Styela clava: one gene and its partner. The protein of the gene in region 2 interacts with the protein of the main gene of each other region in a pairwise test. Links are inferred from orthologs where the notes say so. Each region holds a gene or a part of one and is shown on either strand. Other genes may lie near its edges.

Region 1 (8,087 bases), on a different chromosome or scaffold from region 2:
CCCGACTCCGGGTTTTCAAAAAAATTTGACTTCGTCATCAGCTCCGAGAAAATTAAATTTGACTTTTGCTTGTGCGATCCTACTTAAATGGACTGTTAGAACGCTAGGTAATCATTGAAAGTATGAAATCCGACTACGACTCTGAGAATCCGACTCCAACTACAATGAAAACACGCCAAATTCCCGGCCCAAAAGCTATATATTTAAACATATAACATCAAGTTTTTGGATCATTTACAGTTGGCTTGCCTGGGGAATACTGTCGCCGATTCTACCCTTGACCAAATATATATTCCATTACTTAACATATAAACAACCGTAGTTTAAGTATATTTTATGTTTGACTTGCCTATGAATTATTTAAGTGCCGTTACGTTTAATCGCTTGACCTTAATAGTACGTGTAAACAGTAGTAAATTTCAACATAACTTGATTTCAAACCAACTGGGAATAGTTTCATCTTAATTCTCAGTCATGATAGTAAGGTATGACTCTTTTATGCATTTAATACAATCAATAAGGCTATTGATTAAATTGTTTTGGAATTAGTCTTATCGAATAGGGTTGAATAGTATCTGTCAGAATAGGGCAGGAGTGTGTTCATATGTACCATATGCATCCCAGGCGAGAGAAAAGCCAACTAGACGTTTTAATATTCCGACCCGCTCAATAATGTAGTGGCGTCGGTGCTCCCGAAGTATTCGTACCAAGATTGCGCACAACCTGAATATAGTATGTGTACCAGGTTAGGGTTGTTCAGGTTGTGCGTCATCTTGGTACGATTACTTCCGGAGCGCCGTGGCGTCTTGTGCAGAACGTTGCACGGAGTGAAATCGTGTACATAAATATTTTTAATCAGATAATGAATATAATGTCGTTCGTAAAGCGTTGAAGTTCACAGATTCGAATCCCGTGGGTGAGAATTATACGTGCGAGAGGATTACTGAACTCCTTCCTCTTGGTCGTAGGGTTCGTAGGGTGGTCCACTCGACCGCTGGTCGGTTACGGCTTTCATATGTTTAACTATTGAGTATTAACCATACCCGACACGGACTGGTAACTGTACTAGGATGATTAAACTTTCGTTGATCGACTTACCTCTTCCTCGGGCTGATAATGAAAAACCTATTCCTACATTACATCAACAAATTTTGGCATCGTTTTGATAAAACGAAGAAACTATTAAGTGTAAACTATTGCAGTGTTCATAGATTGACATTAATATGTTACAGACTTTTGTTTAAGTTTCTGCTCTGTTGAATTCCGCATCGATTTATTTTATATGCCAAGATATTTGAGATTTACATTATATTACAATGTAGTACATGTATATGAAATTTTTTGAAACGTTATCAAAGATTCGCCAAAATCGAAAGAAATTCGAAATTGTATTTTCGAATTTCTTTCGGTTTCGGTTGACATTTCGCGAACCACGATGTTTCACAATATGTACAATCCTAGTGCCGTATCTTTGCCATCTAACCCTTAAAATCTTGCTGTACGCCAGCACGAATAAGCCTATATCGTTATTCGAGATAGGAATTTATTTTCGATCAAAAACACCTACCGGTAATCAAGCCGTTTTGGGATATGATGTATAAATTTGTAACGTCTTCCAATTTTTTTCCTTTGATCATACCCAAATCAGTTTATAATGAAATTTCAAAAAACAATCAACAACACGGAAGTAGATTGTATTTTTTTAATTAGTTCCGCGTTCAGATCACAATAGGTCAAACTTGGTCATGGATGAGTTGTCATTTCCGAGTGAATTTTTTGCGTGGATCACGCTTGGTTGTTTAAACAATAATGAAAGACTTGAATACCTTTTCACTGAATGCTAGTTTAATCACGTAACAGATTTTATAAACTGTTGGGCTAACTTTCTGTGCTAAAATTATGATAACGGAAAAAAGGAAGCACATTTGTTTACAGTGTGTTACATTACAGCCTCGTGTTGAAAGCTCGAAAACACTCTGCAAATGCTACAACTACATTTGCGATATCCGAACCCGTTTTCTTTGCTATTCCAATTCGTCTTTCTTATTTAGGACTTTCGTCAGTTATTTGTCTTTGAATGGATTTCTGTTGGACCGACAATTTGTTCTTCTTCTTAGCTTTTACGGGGTGTTTCCGTATGTATATGATGCAAGGATGCTGTAGCAGCAGTACAAATCACTTTTATCTGTCAACAAATGTAAAATCAATTCATATGTCATGCGTCCCTAGCATGTTAGGAAAATAGTAAAGATAAAATTAGTAGGCATTACAATATTTATAATACCTTCTGAATACTCGCCAGAAACGTACATTGTAGTTGTATTTATTGATGCAAAATGCTAACCTGTTATTGTCCGTCACTAGTTTTGCCATGGTAAACATTTCAGGAAATTATCTAATATCGGGCCGTAACAGTCTGCTCGGGATTTGGTAACTCAAAAATGAGCGAGAAAGTCTTAGATGCTATTTTATGTGTAAAATTATAGAATAGCTTCTTCGAATCCGAAATATGCTAACAAATTCCTCCGAACTTTTACCAGCAACACATTAAGTTTTTCTGGGAATTCTTTTACGCCCTGGAATTGACCTTTCGCCTTTTGATCTCGACAAATGCTGAGCTTTTAACACTATCAGTTCCGTCTACGTCATAAAATCCTTTTAGACCGATACGCGTCGGATTCCTACCCTATCTATGGTGGCTTCATCCAAACATGGTTCTTATATAAAACAATTCAAGAGTTTTTGAGTTATATTATCGCCGTACTTGAACTTGGATTCTTCAAATAAGAAGTCAAAACAAAATGCATTTTTGCATCGATCGTACGTTTAAATTGTTGGTGTTTCTTCTTGGCATCGTATGGTCCCGTCAAAGGTAGTTCTCAACATTTTTTGAAAAACTTTTTTGTTGGTATTCGACCGGCCTATGTTGGCGAATTGCGTATTATTTGATTTAATGTGTTATTATCTAATCGCCAAACTCGATTGGAATAAATAAATTTGGAATTCCGCTTCAATGCAACTCCCAACTGATAAAGCTTCCGCGATAGCCTAAAAAATAATCAATTCTTCCAGTCGATAGGAACAGATCGGCGCTTATTCACGAGTTTAATTAAAAGGAGAAAACTGATACACAGCTACGTATTTTGACTACACGATGCTCCATCGAAATACTAATTGCGCATTAGCTAGGTAAGAAAACAGGTGCCAGTATCTGTTTACCAGTCATCTGTATAATTTTATGCTGATTGCAGTACGTAACCTGATATAAGTACGTATGAGGGCTCCAGCGAATCATTATCGAAAAATCTTATGCAGTCTCAGTCTTTTGGTATTGAGCTAAAAGAATTCGGGACTGGCTCAATCGAATTTTGTAGATACCGGAGTCAAGTTTTTTTCATCTCGGAGACGAGGTCAACTCCACAACTCCGGATTCATTGTCATCTTAGCACAATACTTATAACTTCGCTATTCGAGATAGCTGGGAACCCCGTAGCAACACAGTCAGTTTCGCCGGATGATGTTGTACAGACGCTTGAGTTGAGTAATGTATTGTACCGTGATAACCCATGCAATTTTTAACAATTCGTCTAAATATAGAACTGTTTTGTGGACGTTATGGCAATCAGGCGAAACGCCCCCACTGAACGCCTATTCAAGCATGACTCGTTAGCTATATTATCCTTTTCTGGATCCTAACACTATTTCTGTCCTCATATTTGTCTACTATCTGGTGGCTGGTATAAATATGGACGCTGTCATTTGTCCTCTTATTGAAATAACATTTTGAAAATATCATAATATGTGATGTTTCAAAAAGTGTTGCTCATCTTGGATCGTATTTTTAATTAATTTAGTTTTGCCCCATTTTTTTGTTCTTGTAATTCAATACATGAATTTTTGTAAATTTTTTGCGTCGGTGTTGATTTCGATATTCGGAATTTTTTGTCAATCGTATTCGTATATATTGTAACGCAGAAAAATGGTTAGGTCTATATTTTAGAATTTTAGGTGACTATTTGTATTATAATACATGCAAAACTCGTAAGAGCGGACGACTTAGTTGGTCAACGCTTCGAATGTCTATACAGACTAACTTCATCACAACAATGAATAAAAATGTACGGATTCGAAAATTGGATAACCTATATCGTTTACTGCTTACTAGTACGTGCATTAATTTGAATAAGCATAGTAGCAATCACTCGCTAGACTTTTTATTTTATACCTCCGCAGGGAGCCAATTTAAGCCATTTCTATAAATTGATATAATTTTTTTTTCTGGTTTGAGAGTTTATTTAAATTGTGATAATTTGTAGATAACTTTCTATTGTCATTTCGTGTAAAATTAGACTTCTTTGCCAAACATATCGTTCTACATGGGAAACCAACCATAGCATCCAGCCGTACTTATATAGTCGTATTTTTAGTTTTAATTTAGCGTAATTGGACACGTATTGGCTCGAAATAGTCGTGTTAGGATCCTCGTAAACAATATGTATTATTGCAGTACTGAACAGTAAGTTAGCCTATAATAGAGTACTTATAGTACTTGTGCAGTGAGCAATGTTGACAGAATTATTTCACTAAAAGACCATATTTTTTTTTAAATAATGGACGTAGGCATTTTTGACAGTTATTAGGAAGTTAGAATATAGGAAAGGTTCGAATCAAGTACAGACTGACCAAAATAAAACAGATTTACGAAAACGAAATTTATTTACAACTTTAACTTGTGCTTGTATATAATAGAACGCTTTTCACAAAAGTTATGTTCTTTCTAGGTTTCAAATGGCCTGGGTTCTGTTTTTAGGTCACGCTGTATGTTATAATATTATTGATACATGTAAGGTTCAAATATAAGATGATCTTGATACCAAGACGAACGATGGATTTACATTCGTTGATTGTTTCTGTTCTCTTTAGGGAAATTCTTACTGTCCCAACGCGCCCATTTGACATCGATTTGCTTTACCTAAATGACCGATTTTTGTTTATTTTTCAATGTACCAGCTTGTCTAATGCTATTTGGGCGTAACGTAACTCGAACATATGCATTGCAACCACATTTAGCTAACGTCCGGTAGAAAAAAGGCCGCAATTATTTTGGCCAGCGAATAATACTGTTTATGCGCCTCTTTGTGAGTGTGATATACTGGAATACCAAACGGAAGTGGCCATACCACACACTGCTGTTGTTATCGACGTACAGTCAGTAAGGTAGCTAGACTGTGTTAGTTGCTTGTCTGTCTGATCTGAAAGAGACGATCTTTTCCGTCAATACAAAGACAAAACTGGATTATATTTTGAAGTGATATTATACGATACAAACCAGCATCATGAGTATGTTCCCTTTTAAATTCGGGAAGTCGAAGGAATCCTCGCATAAGTCGCCAAAGACTTCCAAAGAAGACCATTTGAATAACAGTAAGTTTGTATTTATTACTATTCAGATATATTAATATAACGATCTACAATACATTATTGTCATTTCAATCAATTTTATTACCGATAATCGTCGACTTTTTTTCTTATTCGTATTTTAGTTTTGGCAAATCGAGAATTTGATTTTTATGCTTCATTAAATAAACAAGTATTACAATAGTTTTATGTCTCAGTGATTGTCATTATTCATTTCAGATTTGTGTTAGGTTATGAAATTTTATTTTAAATAAAAGTATTCAGATCTGATTCCGTTGATCCCTTTCTAAACGGCGTTATTATGCCAGTTACAGTGACTTAATGGTACCGATGTGGCTTAAAATTTTCTTTTGGTCATATTGTAAGACCTCCATTGCTCAAATGAAAATTTGATAATCAAATGTAAATATTTCAAAATATTACTACAATCAAAAATTCAAAATATCGAATATATTTATTTTCGAAGCCATCAAAATATTCAATTCTTTTTGAACATTGGTGTACCTTCATTTTATATACACATAAATACAAGGATCAGGTCTAGTTTGCGATCATTTCTTTCTTCCATTGTATGCTCTATCTATCCGGATAAAACATTTTATCTGATTAAGCATTATAAATAAATGACCCGTACATAATTGTGTCTTATAATGCCACATATGGCCAAACATCCAACCACCAAATCGAGTAATCTCCTCAGAATGCTAATTGCTAATTATACAAATTTTGCAATTCATTATAGGATTTATGTATCTTTAATTAACTACACATAATATGTCCAGTTTGTTTGTTACGAGATAATGAAGGCCGTGTATAATACTATTTGTAATTATACATACCATACATATACGATGCCAGAAGCTCAGGTTATAATTATGTCTAGAGGCTCTAGCCATACGGCTTAACGATCACTGAAGAATATTCAATGAATAATACACTATTTAATTGGTACCAGTCTCAAATATTTAAAAATTGCTACAATAACTTAATGCTTTTTTTCCGTATTTCTACATTTTCATTGTGACTAGCTGCTATAGTTGTCCACATCTAGTTTACATTGTTGCATACCGGTATTTTTTCGTTTTGATCGATTCTCATTAACGAGTTATACTAGTTTAAATTTGAGAGTTCCAAAATCATACTATGGCCTGATACTAATATTTCGGTCTAATTGGTATATATATAATTGTATGTTTGCCAATATGTATGACGTAATTATATTGATGGCGTCATTTTTCAAGATTTATTGTTATTTTGAATATGTGTTCGAATGCGGATTCTTGTCTCCAGCAAGAATTTTCATGTAAAATTGGTTTATTGATTCTCGGATAATCACTGGTCATATTTAAACCGCATTTTATTATTGATGAGTTCTCAGCCGACTGCGATGACTTGTTCGCCATTGGAAATTATGATGCAAATTGGAAATAAAATATTATACTATCCATTTGGGGCTGTTTTTCCCAATCTGGGAGGAATTTTGAGTTTTTTTTTTTTTTGGGGGGGGGGGGGGGGGGTGGTTTGTATTTGCGTATAATAATAATAAAAAAGTCTGAGTATAAGTTGCTCGTAAGTCGTAACACTGGCTAACGGTCTATTAACGACTTCCGCGCAGTACTTCGAGAATTGAAGAGTTTAAAATAGGCGAATGTTGGAATAATTTCTAGTATTGAGATATATGGTAGTCTTAGTCTACCACTGAGATTCCGGGGCTTAGCTTTATTAAAAAGATGGTGATTCAACTTTAATATGCTCTACCAATTACTCAGAAATTTTGGTGAAATGTGCTGTTTTCTTGTGATTCTCTGAGCTTTCGTGATCCGTAACGTTACATTGTATCAAGCTGTGGTTGACCGCGAGTTTGGTGTTTCTCGGCGCGGCAAATAGTCTGAAGTATATTCGAAAGCGTTTAACACCCAGCAGCCAACACGTTTAGCGAATATTCATATATTTTTACCTGTCATTCAAACTGGGCAAGACTGCTTTTTGTTTATGCTATTGAAAAAATGAGCATGTTATCAGAATTTTAAAGCCATCACGAGTCCCAGAAAAAGTCGTATCTGAATTTGTTGTGGATTATATTTGGATTGCACTTTATTTTGCGTTTTTTCAGTAAATAAGCTGATCAAGTAGTAAGCTTTAAGAAATTCTGATCTACTTCAAGTAGTTCGATCCAAAATATCATTTTCGGTATCAAGTTTTTTCGGTGATTTTGATAAAGCCTCTTGAGCCACTTAGAAATGTCACTGCAGGTATTTTATCTGTTATTTTCAAACGTTTTATTCTTAGTTGGAGTTGCTCGTGCTACTGCTCTTTTCTGTCCGCGTTTGTGTCGGTCGATCGGAATACACGAGTTGCAGGGATACCGTGAAAAGAATAAAAACGCTTAAATTAATTGGTTGGATTGTCTTCACCTTTCGCATTTTCACGTACTGTCTTTAATCCTGTAGCAAAAATTCGTATTACGTTTACAGAATAAAACCTTAGGTGGTGTACTGTAAAGACTTTGAACACTTGTTGAAAACGGTGACCCCAAGATAGTACACATGACTGTGGGGTCGGGTAAATTTTTAAATTTTCAATCTACTCTAACTCCCGGATTTTCCGGATTGACAAAAATTTGACTCCAAATCCAGGTTCAAAATCTGAGAAAATTTCGAAAATTTGGC
Region 2 (7,233 bases):
ATGAGCCGAACGTGTTCCTTATAGGCATTGGAATACTGAGACAAAGTAAGACATAGAAGGCATGGATATTGTAACGAATTCACGCTAGGGCCCCATATAGAGAGTACCTCTACTGTTTCAGGGTAGAGATTTCGCTGATAAAAATTAGTAACAAATTCTTCCTAAGCTAAATAAAGATGAGTAGCGTGGATTCTTCGCGGACTGGAATGTAGAAGTCTCATGGGTAACGTCAAGGTGAAGAGTCAAAAGTTTAATTATATAGCCGGGGTTATGATAGGTTAACAACCTCCATGTGTACACCACAAGAATACCTGAAAGGTAAATTCATTTTATTTCGCGAAGATATCTATTAATTATCGAAGAGCATTATCAGAGCACTTGTTGTGTTTTTCCCCTTTGATTGAGGAGCACCAACGAAAATCCACAACGTTTTCTTGTAGGACTGAAAATCAATGAAGGAAAAATTCGTTTGGAATGCGTTCTGGTGTATCAATTTCTGTGTCAGAAGGTGTTAATAAAAAAACAGCAATGACAGTTTCAGCGCGCTTGTTTTATGATTTAGTCCAATGACATTGCTAATCTGTACATTTGTTGCCATCTGCTTTAAAAATGTACTTGCAGGCGTCGCTTCATTCATTGTTAATTATCGATGTCAAAATTTCCTGATGTCGGTCGATACAGAGCATTGAGTTATCCAAACCTACTTGACAGCACTATTTGCATATACAGTAGTTTATAGGGAAGGCTGAAATATTGTATCCATCAAAATTATAAGCATGTATGGTCGTGTTCCTAATTCGTTTATTCCTTTCAGTATTCATACTCATAACAGTCGTAATAAACGTTTAACTAGCATTTTTGTTAATCCGTTTTTCCTGGTGTTCAAATTATTACTTACACCTTCTGGTGTATACGTGATCAAATGAAAGAAATACATTCGAACTCGGGATTAACGGTCGCTTTTCTACAGACGACAGATTGTATCCGTGAAATTGTAAATTTAATCGTTTGGAATTAAGTGGGTCTCCTTTCATTTATTTAATGTGATTGCTCGTGTATGGGCCGTGGATATAAATAAAAAAATTCTCATCTTTTTCGCGTTTTTTACATTATAGAAATATTAACGACTATTTCAAGCGATAAATAGGTCTCAATATAGGCTTGAAGACCTCTAAATATTGGGCCCTATATATATATATCGTTCGAAAATTATTAGTTACACTTTAACCGGGTTGATAATATTTGTGTGCTTTGTTATCAAGCCATATTCTATATTTTGACGCTCGCATTCTGTTTGAATTGTAGTTTCGATTGAGTTTCGCTTGGAAAAGGTACATAAAACTGTATAATCAGATACGCTGATATATGCTTGAATATTAGAAATTTCTTTGTCAGAATTCATTATGTATGTTTTGATAGGACGCATTGATATTTGCAATGTATTATATCGGTAATTCCAACTTTTTTTGTTGATAATTGAGGGGCTCCTGAAGTATGCGAACCAAGATGGCGGACATCGGAATGTAATATGTGTACTAGGTTGGGGTTAGGCCATAATTTTAGGTATAAATACTACGGGAGGCTCTTGGCTAGTCTTCGACATGATAATAGGACAAAAATAAGGAAAATTGGAAAAAAATTATCGCCTAACCCTAACCTGTTACCCATGTTACGTTCCGATGTCCGCCATCTTGGTTCGCATACTTCGGGAGCACCGTATAATTAAACTACCCCCAGTTGTTGGAATCATCATACATAGATTAGATCGCATGGAAACATCTTCGTAAGGAATAGGATATTAGGGAATATTAGTGTTTGCACTTATATGCTTTTAAGTAAATTCATATTTATTGATCGTTATCAGTTTTACGAGTATATCACAATAACTCGTTTAAAACAGAATGTCGCTATTTGCTACAATACGCTTAGTACTATGTCTTCTTGTATGAAATGGGGCACAATCTTTTTACGACAGTGAAGTGGAATATCAACATGAAATTTTTTTTTTTTTTACATTTATATATATATCCTGTGTTCAGGTTTATTTGGCGAATTTTTTGTTTGTAACAAAAAAGGCAGCTATCAGTACTAAAAATGAGAAAGAAATTTTTTTTTTGTTTTTAAAAAGGGCATAAACCTCGCGCAATATAAATACAAAATGTTACCGAATTAATATCGAATTTGCATATTTGTAAACACCATGATTCATTTTCTGCAATTTGTATGACTGACGCAAGAAAAACGGTCGCAAACAAAAAACTCAAATTCAATGTCGACCACCGAAAATTAAAAGTATATTTTCTATGCAGTTTTAAATAGTCAGTAAATTTTACTGTGCTATATTATTATATGCAAAAATGTCTCATTATCTTGCTTTATTTTGTTAGCGGCTGTTTTTACATGTTATGTGCCTTTAAAAATCGTACCTGAAAGTTCTTTTCTCGCAGAATTACATACGTAAGTGTATAAGAAATAGTCACAATCACGGTGAAATGTTAGTCACTTTTCTGTATTAGTCTCAACTATGAAGCAAAATATTCAAATTGAGCATCTCTCCGCACTAAAAAAAGTTTCTTAGCTCATTAGTTTAGATTTAAATTTCGAACAAGGAGGAAGTTTGTTACTTGGATTAGTTGTCGACTCAGGTTAGTAGACACTAACACTTGACAGTACCTGCACTAATCAGAAAAGTCAGTTAATTCCACCAAAATCGCATATGATATGTTAACTTGAAATAATACGTAGACCCACTATATGAACCCATCGTGCGACATACGCTTCTAAAAAGAACTTTTCTATTTGACGCATTTACATCAAGATGAATTCATTTGGCTTTATCAGGGCAATTTCCATAGTATATATCACTAAATTAAGTGCTATCGATTTTAAATTACTTACGTTGAAAAGGGAAGTGTTCTAGGCTCTTATCGACTGATTGTACTTCATAGAGAAATCTTGATCGACCTATTTAATTTTTTGCACATTCGTATTTAATGACGCTAAATCTCTGTACCAGAGAGGCGATTTAAGCGGCCGTACATGATTGGATGATAATGTATAAAATTTGGTTCTGGTGTTTATTTTCGGAGGATGATGAGAACCCCTGATGTTTTATTACCTAAGAGACACCCGGCGTTATATCTTTAGATAAATCAGCCATTTTCGATTATTTTTAGTCGAGTCAGTTAACCTTGTTATCAGCGTGACCGCTACGAACATGGCGTCGCCATTTTATCAGCCGAAAGCGTGACGGGATTTGTGTTCCGCGGGGTGATAAGAGAACAGTGTGTTGCTTTGCATGGTTGAAGGGTTTCTCCCGGGTAACGAGCTCAAATCGATTATGCCAGGATTTTTGTTAGGATTTCATACGGCGTTATCGTTAGAGACGCGCTTTCATTTGCAATGTGAGATCAGCGCATTGATTGCTGCCTAAATAATTTATTGCATTTCGAGATGGCTGTATGGGTCGTGGAATATTACGATTATAATTAAACCAAGTGCAGATTGCCACTTCAAGTAAACGGGTCAATATGGAGTAGAACACATGCACCGTTTCTCATTATTATGTCGACACGAATTGATTGGACGTTTTGTTTTAAAGTAAGGTACGGTATGTAGCACGGCATCGGTTATGAAGACACATGGGTTTTTGAAAGAAATATATGCTGTCATCTTTCATTTGAAGTTAGACGTTCGTTAGTTAGCTGTGGTAACTTGAAATGACATAATTTGATTACAGTGAAAGTGCGATTGAATTTGATGCGTTTTGCTGTTTATTTCAAAGTCAGATTCTTTGAATAGTATTATAACATTGCATAGGAAATTTTGCCAATTGAAATTAGTTCAAGGCATTAGTGACTGGAACTGTATACAATAGAGGTATTTAGGTCATTTCAAAACACTCCCCCATTCATCCAATGTGTTATATTGAGAGGCATAGTGATTCAATGGAGCATCATATAAACTCGGCACTTTCAAGAAAGTTTAGAAATTCCCTCAGACTATCTGTCTTATTGTTTATGGAATTCAACGTTTGTTAGATAGAAAACCCTATTATATTCACTATACACTAACCAAAAGTTGCAATCATATCTGGACGAAGAATTTTATTTGTTTGATTTTACCTTTAGAAGTTTTGTGTTTAAATTGATGAATAGAACTACAAATTGAACACAGGATATTTGTTTGACATATTCCATTCAATAAAGAGACCTTTTACGTCAAGAAATGATAAAAATATATGTGGACTACATGTGTTCATTGTGACCACTAGCAGATGGTCAACGTTTTTTTGGAATATTTGCCCAGAGAGATTTAATGTGAGGAAGCAAGTAGATGCATTCATCGCGGAATTAGAAGAACGTAAAACTAAGATCCGACAAAAGGAAACTCAGAACTATATTGAAAAAGAATGACAGATTCTACTCCTGCAGCAGCACCCACATGTAATTGTACACAATCAGACACAGCTGTTGTGGATGTATCCGTGAGTACCATATTTCAGTTTAATTTTATTTTTTGTCATTTTTATAAAAATTTTAAAGTTTTCTATTTAATTCAAGACTAATGTGTTAGGGTACAGCTCGACTCTTGAATCAAACAGAATATTCATGTTTGTTCTTGCGATAGCATACTTGCATTATAAGCATTGTGATCCACTACTTTCTGTTCAGATTTCCACATTCAGGGTATGCAGTATACATAATCTCAATGTTGTAATATCAATTAGACTGACTATTTGTTTGTCAGGGGTTTTGTCCAGCTTTACCTTTCAATCACACAAGTAATTGAATAAGATAGTAAATGTAGTATGAGAATGTGATAATCAATTTCACAACATTATTTTCTTTTTTTTTTGATTCCAATCAATAATTTGATATTGTGTAGTCTAGTTCAAAGAAAAATTACTTGGGAAATTGATGGGATGTCATATAACTTAGATGTAGGCGCATGTAAAATTGCCAGATTCAAGCTTCTCAATATTAGAAAACAAATTGCTTTGTTTCAAATAGTGCCTGAACATTCTAATCTGATAGCAAAAACTTATTTTATCCAAAAAATGTGTTATCTCAATGTATTATATTGGTAATTCCAACTATTTTTGTTGATACTTGATATGGTAACAGTAAGATTATTTCAATTCAGCAAAAAACATTAAAATCTTCAAATTAATAAAGGGCAGTATAATTGAACTACCACGGTTGTTGGAATCATCTTGCATACATTTTCTGGCCCATTTTTGCTCTATTATGAACACTAAATAATGAATCTACTTTTAACTAAATTGAATGCTGCAACAAGGATAGATAAAGCCGCTTTACTAAAAAATAATTTATTATTTATGAGAACAAATTACTTTTGGTTTAATGATGATTGATTATTGCCACTATGTGATCTGTGGAGCTTTTACATGTAATGAAAAAAACACTTTGAAGTTTACTGTAATATCGCACTTATTTCGGAAGTCTTCTGTCATAAACTGTGACTTGGGTCCCGGTGTGGTGCACTACAGAGCAAATGTTTATTCAATATTGAATAATATTAGATACTAAATATTCAGATTTGCTGTCAATTAAAGTATAAACAATATCTAAAAATTTAAACCACTTAATGCGAGAGCAATCACAAAAAGAATTCACTGTGAATCGATAACAACTAAAGAGAATCTACAAAATTTGAATTAGTGCCTTCTTTTGGAAAATAGACATGATACACATGGGAATAAAGTTCATCTTGTGTTTACAAACAAAATTCCTGCCATACTGAGTCATAATGTGTTTCAAACAATATGAATTGATCAGTTCTCAGAGAAAGTTTAATCACAAGAATGGCATATGGCACATACATATGTAAAAGCTTAATATGCAAAGTGCAATATTGATTATTTGTGTTAATTTACATCTCAGTTAAGGCTTTAAGGTTCCAGCTTACCACCTTGTATAGTGAATTTAACTACAACTTGATTTTTCTTCATTGATTTTATGAAAATAGTAGGTTTTGTAGTTTGTCCTCAATTCAAATATTATACTTATTGATATATAGTATACTCGTATGTTTACATAAATCATGCCATAAAATCTTTTTCAAATCATTACAAAATTATGCACGAAGAATGCTTATTTAGAATTTGTTTAAAAATCTTTTTCTAGGTAACAACTGAGTATTTGACAACAAATGCCACACACACACCATGTGAACAAACTCGCATGTGGTATGTTTTCCTCAGTTCATCATTAATCACATTTTTTGGTGGACTTCTCATCATATTAATATGGAGAGTTTTCAATTACATGTGCTGTGCTGCTTACAGGTATATATTTTCTTTTTCATTGTGCATCGAAATATGTTAGAATAATGTCCAAATTTCCTATTGATTTCCTTATTAATCTGTTTAGTCAAATCCCCAAAGATGGAAATTCAAGCAAAGGCACATCAAGCGATAAAGATAATTCTGATGCAGACTCAACAAAATCTGCCGGACCATTAGAAGTGGAATGGATGACTGTTGTAAAAGATTGGGCTGGTGTTATGATATCTGCACAGACTTTAATTGGAAGGATACTGGTAAAATGTTTTATCAAAATTCATTATCTGATTAGTTTATGCCTTGGTTATAATTTGAATAACAATTTTTGTTAGATTCTATGGATATGAAATCGTTTACAACTGTAGGTTATTATAACTACCTAATTTGTGTTTGAAAGATTAATCATGAACGAACATGATAAATGATTCTCCGGTTAAGTCCCATTTCCATCAAATTTTTAAATTTGAGTCTCAAGTCAAGCCGCTGTTCTACCGGGTCTCAAGTTGAGGGCGAGTCATAATAGTTTTTATAAAAAATCATGAAATGGATACATATAAGTGAGATTCCATTGGAAATTAAACCAAAATTCATATAGAAAGCAAATTTTGATTTAATAATGTATTGAAAACATTTGTGTTGGCCTGTTTTGAGCTATTGCTGTAATATTTCTTCTAATATGCAACCTAATTATCTATATCAAATTTCTTTTTTCTTTTTTCCTTTTACTCAATGTTTTTTTTTCTAATTTTTCAGGTCGTCCTCGTTTTTATGCTCAGCATTGGTGCTCTTGTTATATATTTCATTGATTCATCAGAGTAAGTTGGAATGCTTGAAAAGTTTCATAGAACTCAGATCAATTTTTGACATCCAACTCAAACCATATCAACCTCTAATATAAATCAGTTTCTTCTTATCATAAGATTAAG

Evidence for each region. The genes of interacting proteins can lie anywhere in the genome.
Region 1: the proteins of calcium-activated potassium channel subunit alpha-1-like (region 2) and cAMP-dependent protein kinase catalytic subunit beta interact in binary tests that used the Drosophila melanogaster proteins (3 or more experiments, as listed by UniProt). The link is inferred for Styela clava from reciprocal best matches to the Drosophila melanogaster genes slo and Pka-C1.

What each region holds. Positions count from the first base shown.
Region 1 is NC_135250.1:24,679,447-24,687,533, reverse strand, and holds the start of cAMP-dependent protein kinase catalytic subunit beta, read left to right. Parts: upstream 1-4,993; 5' UTR 4,994-5,336; coding exon 5,337-5,424; intron 5,425-8,087. UniProt on the Drosophila melanogaster protein: Serine/threonine-protein kinase involved in memory formation. Promotes long-term memory by phosphorylating meng and by regulating CrebB protein stability and activity.
Region 2 is NC_135260.1:20,441,626-20,448,858, forward strand, and holds the start of calcium-activated potassium channel subunit alpha-1-like, read left to right. Parts: upstream 1-4,112; 5' UTR 4,113-4,411; coding exon 4,412-4,486; intron 4,487-6,149; coding exon 6,150-6,310; intron 6,311-6,395; coding exon 6,396-6,564; intron 6,565-7,060; coding exon 7,061-7,122; intron 7,123-7,233. UniProt on the Drosophila melanogaster protein: Potassium channel activated by both membrane depolarization or increase in cytosolic Ca(2+) that mediates export of K(+). Its activation dampens the excitatory events that elevate the cytosolic Ca(2+) concentration and/or depolarize the cell membrane.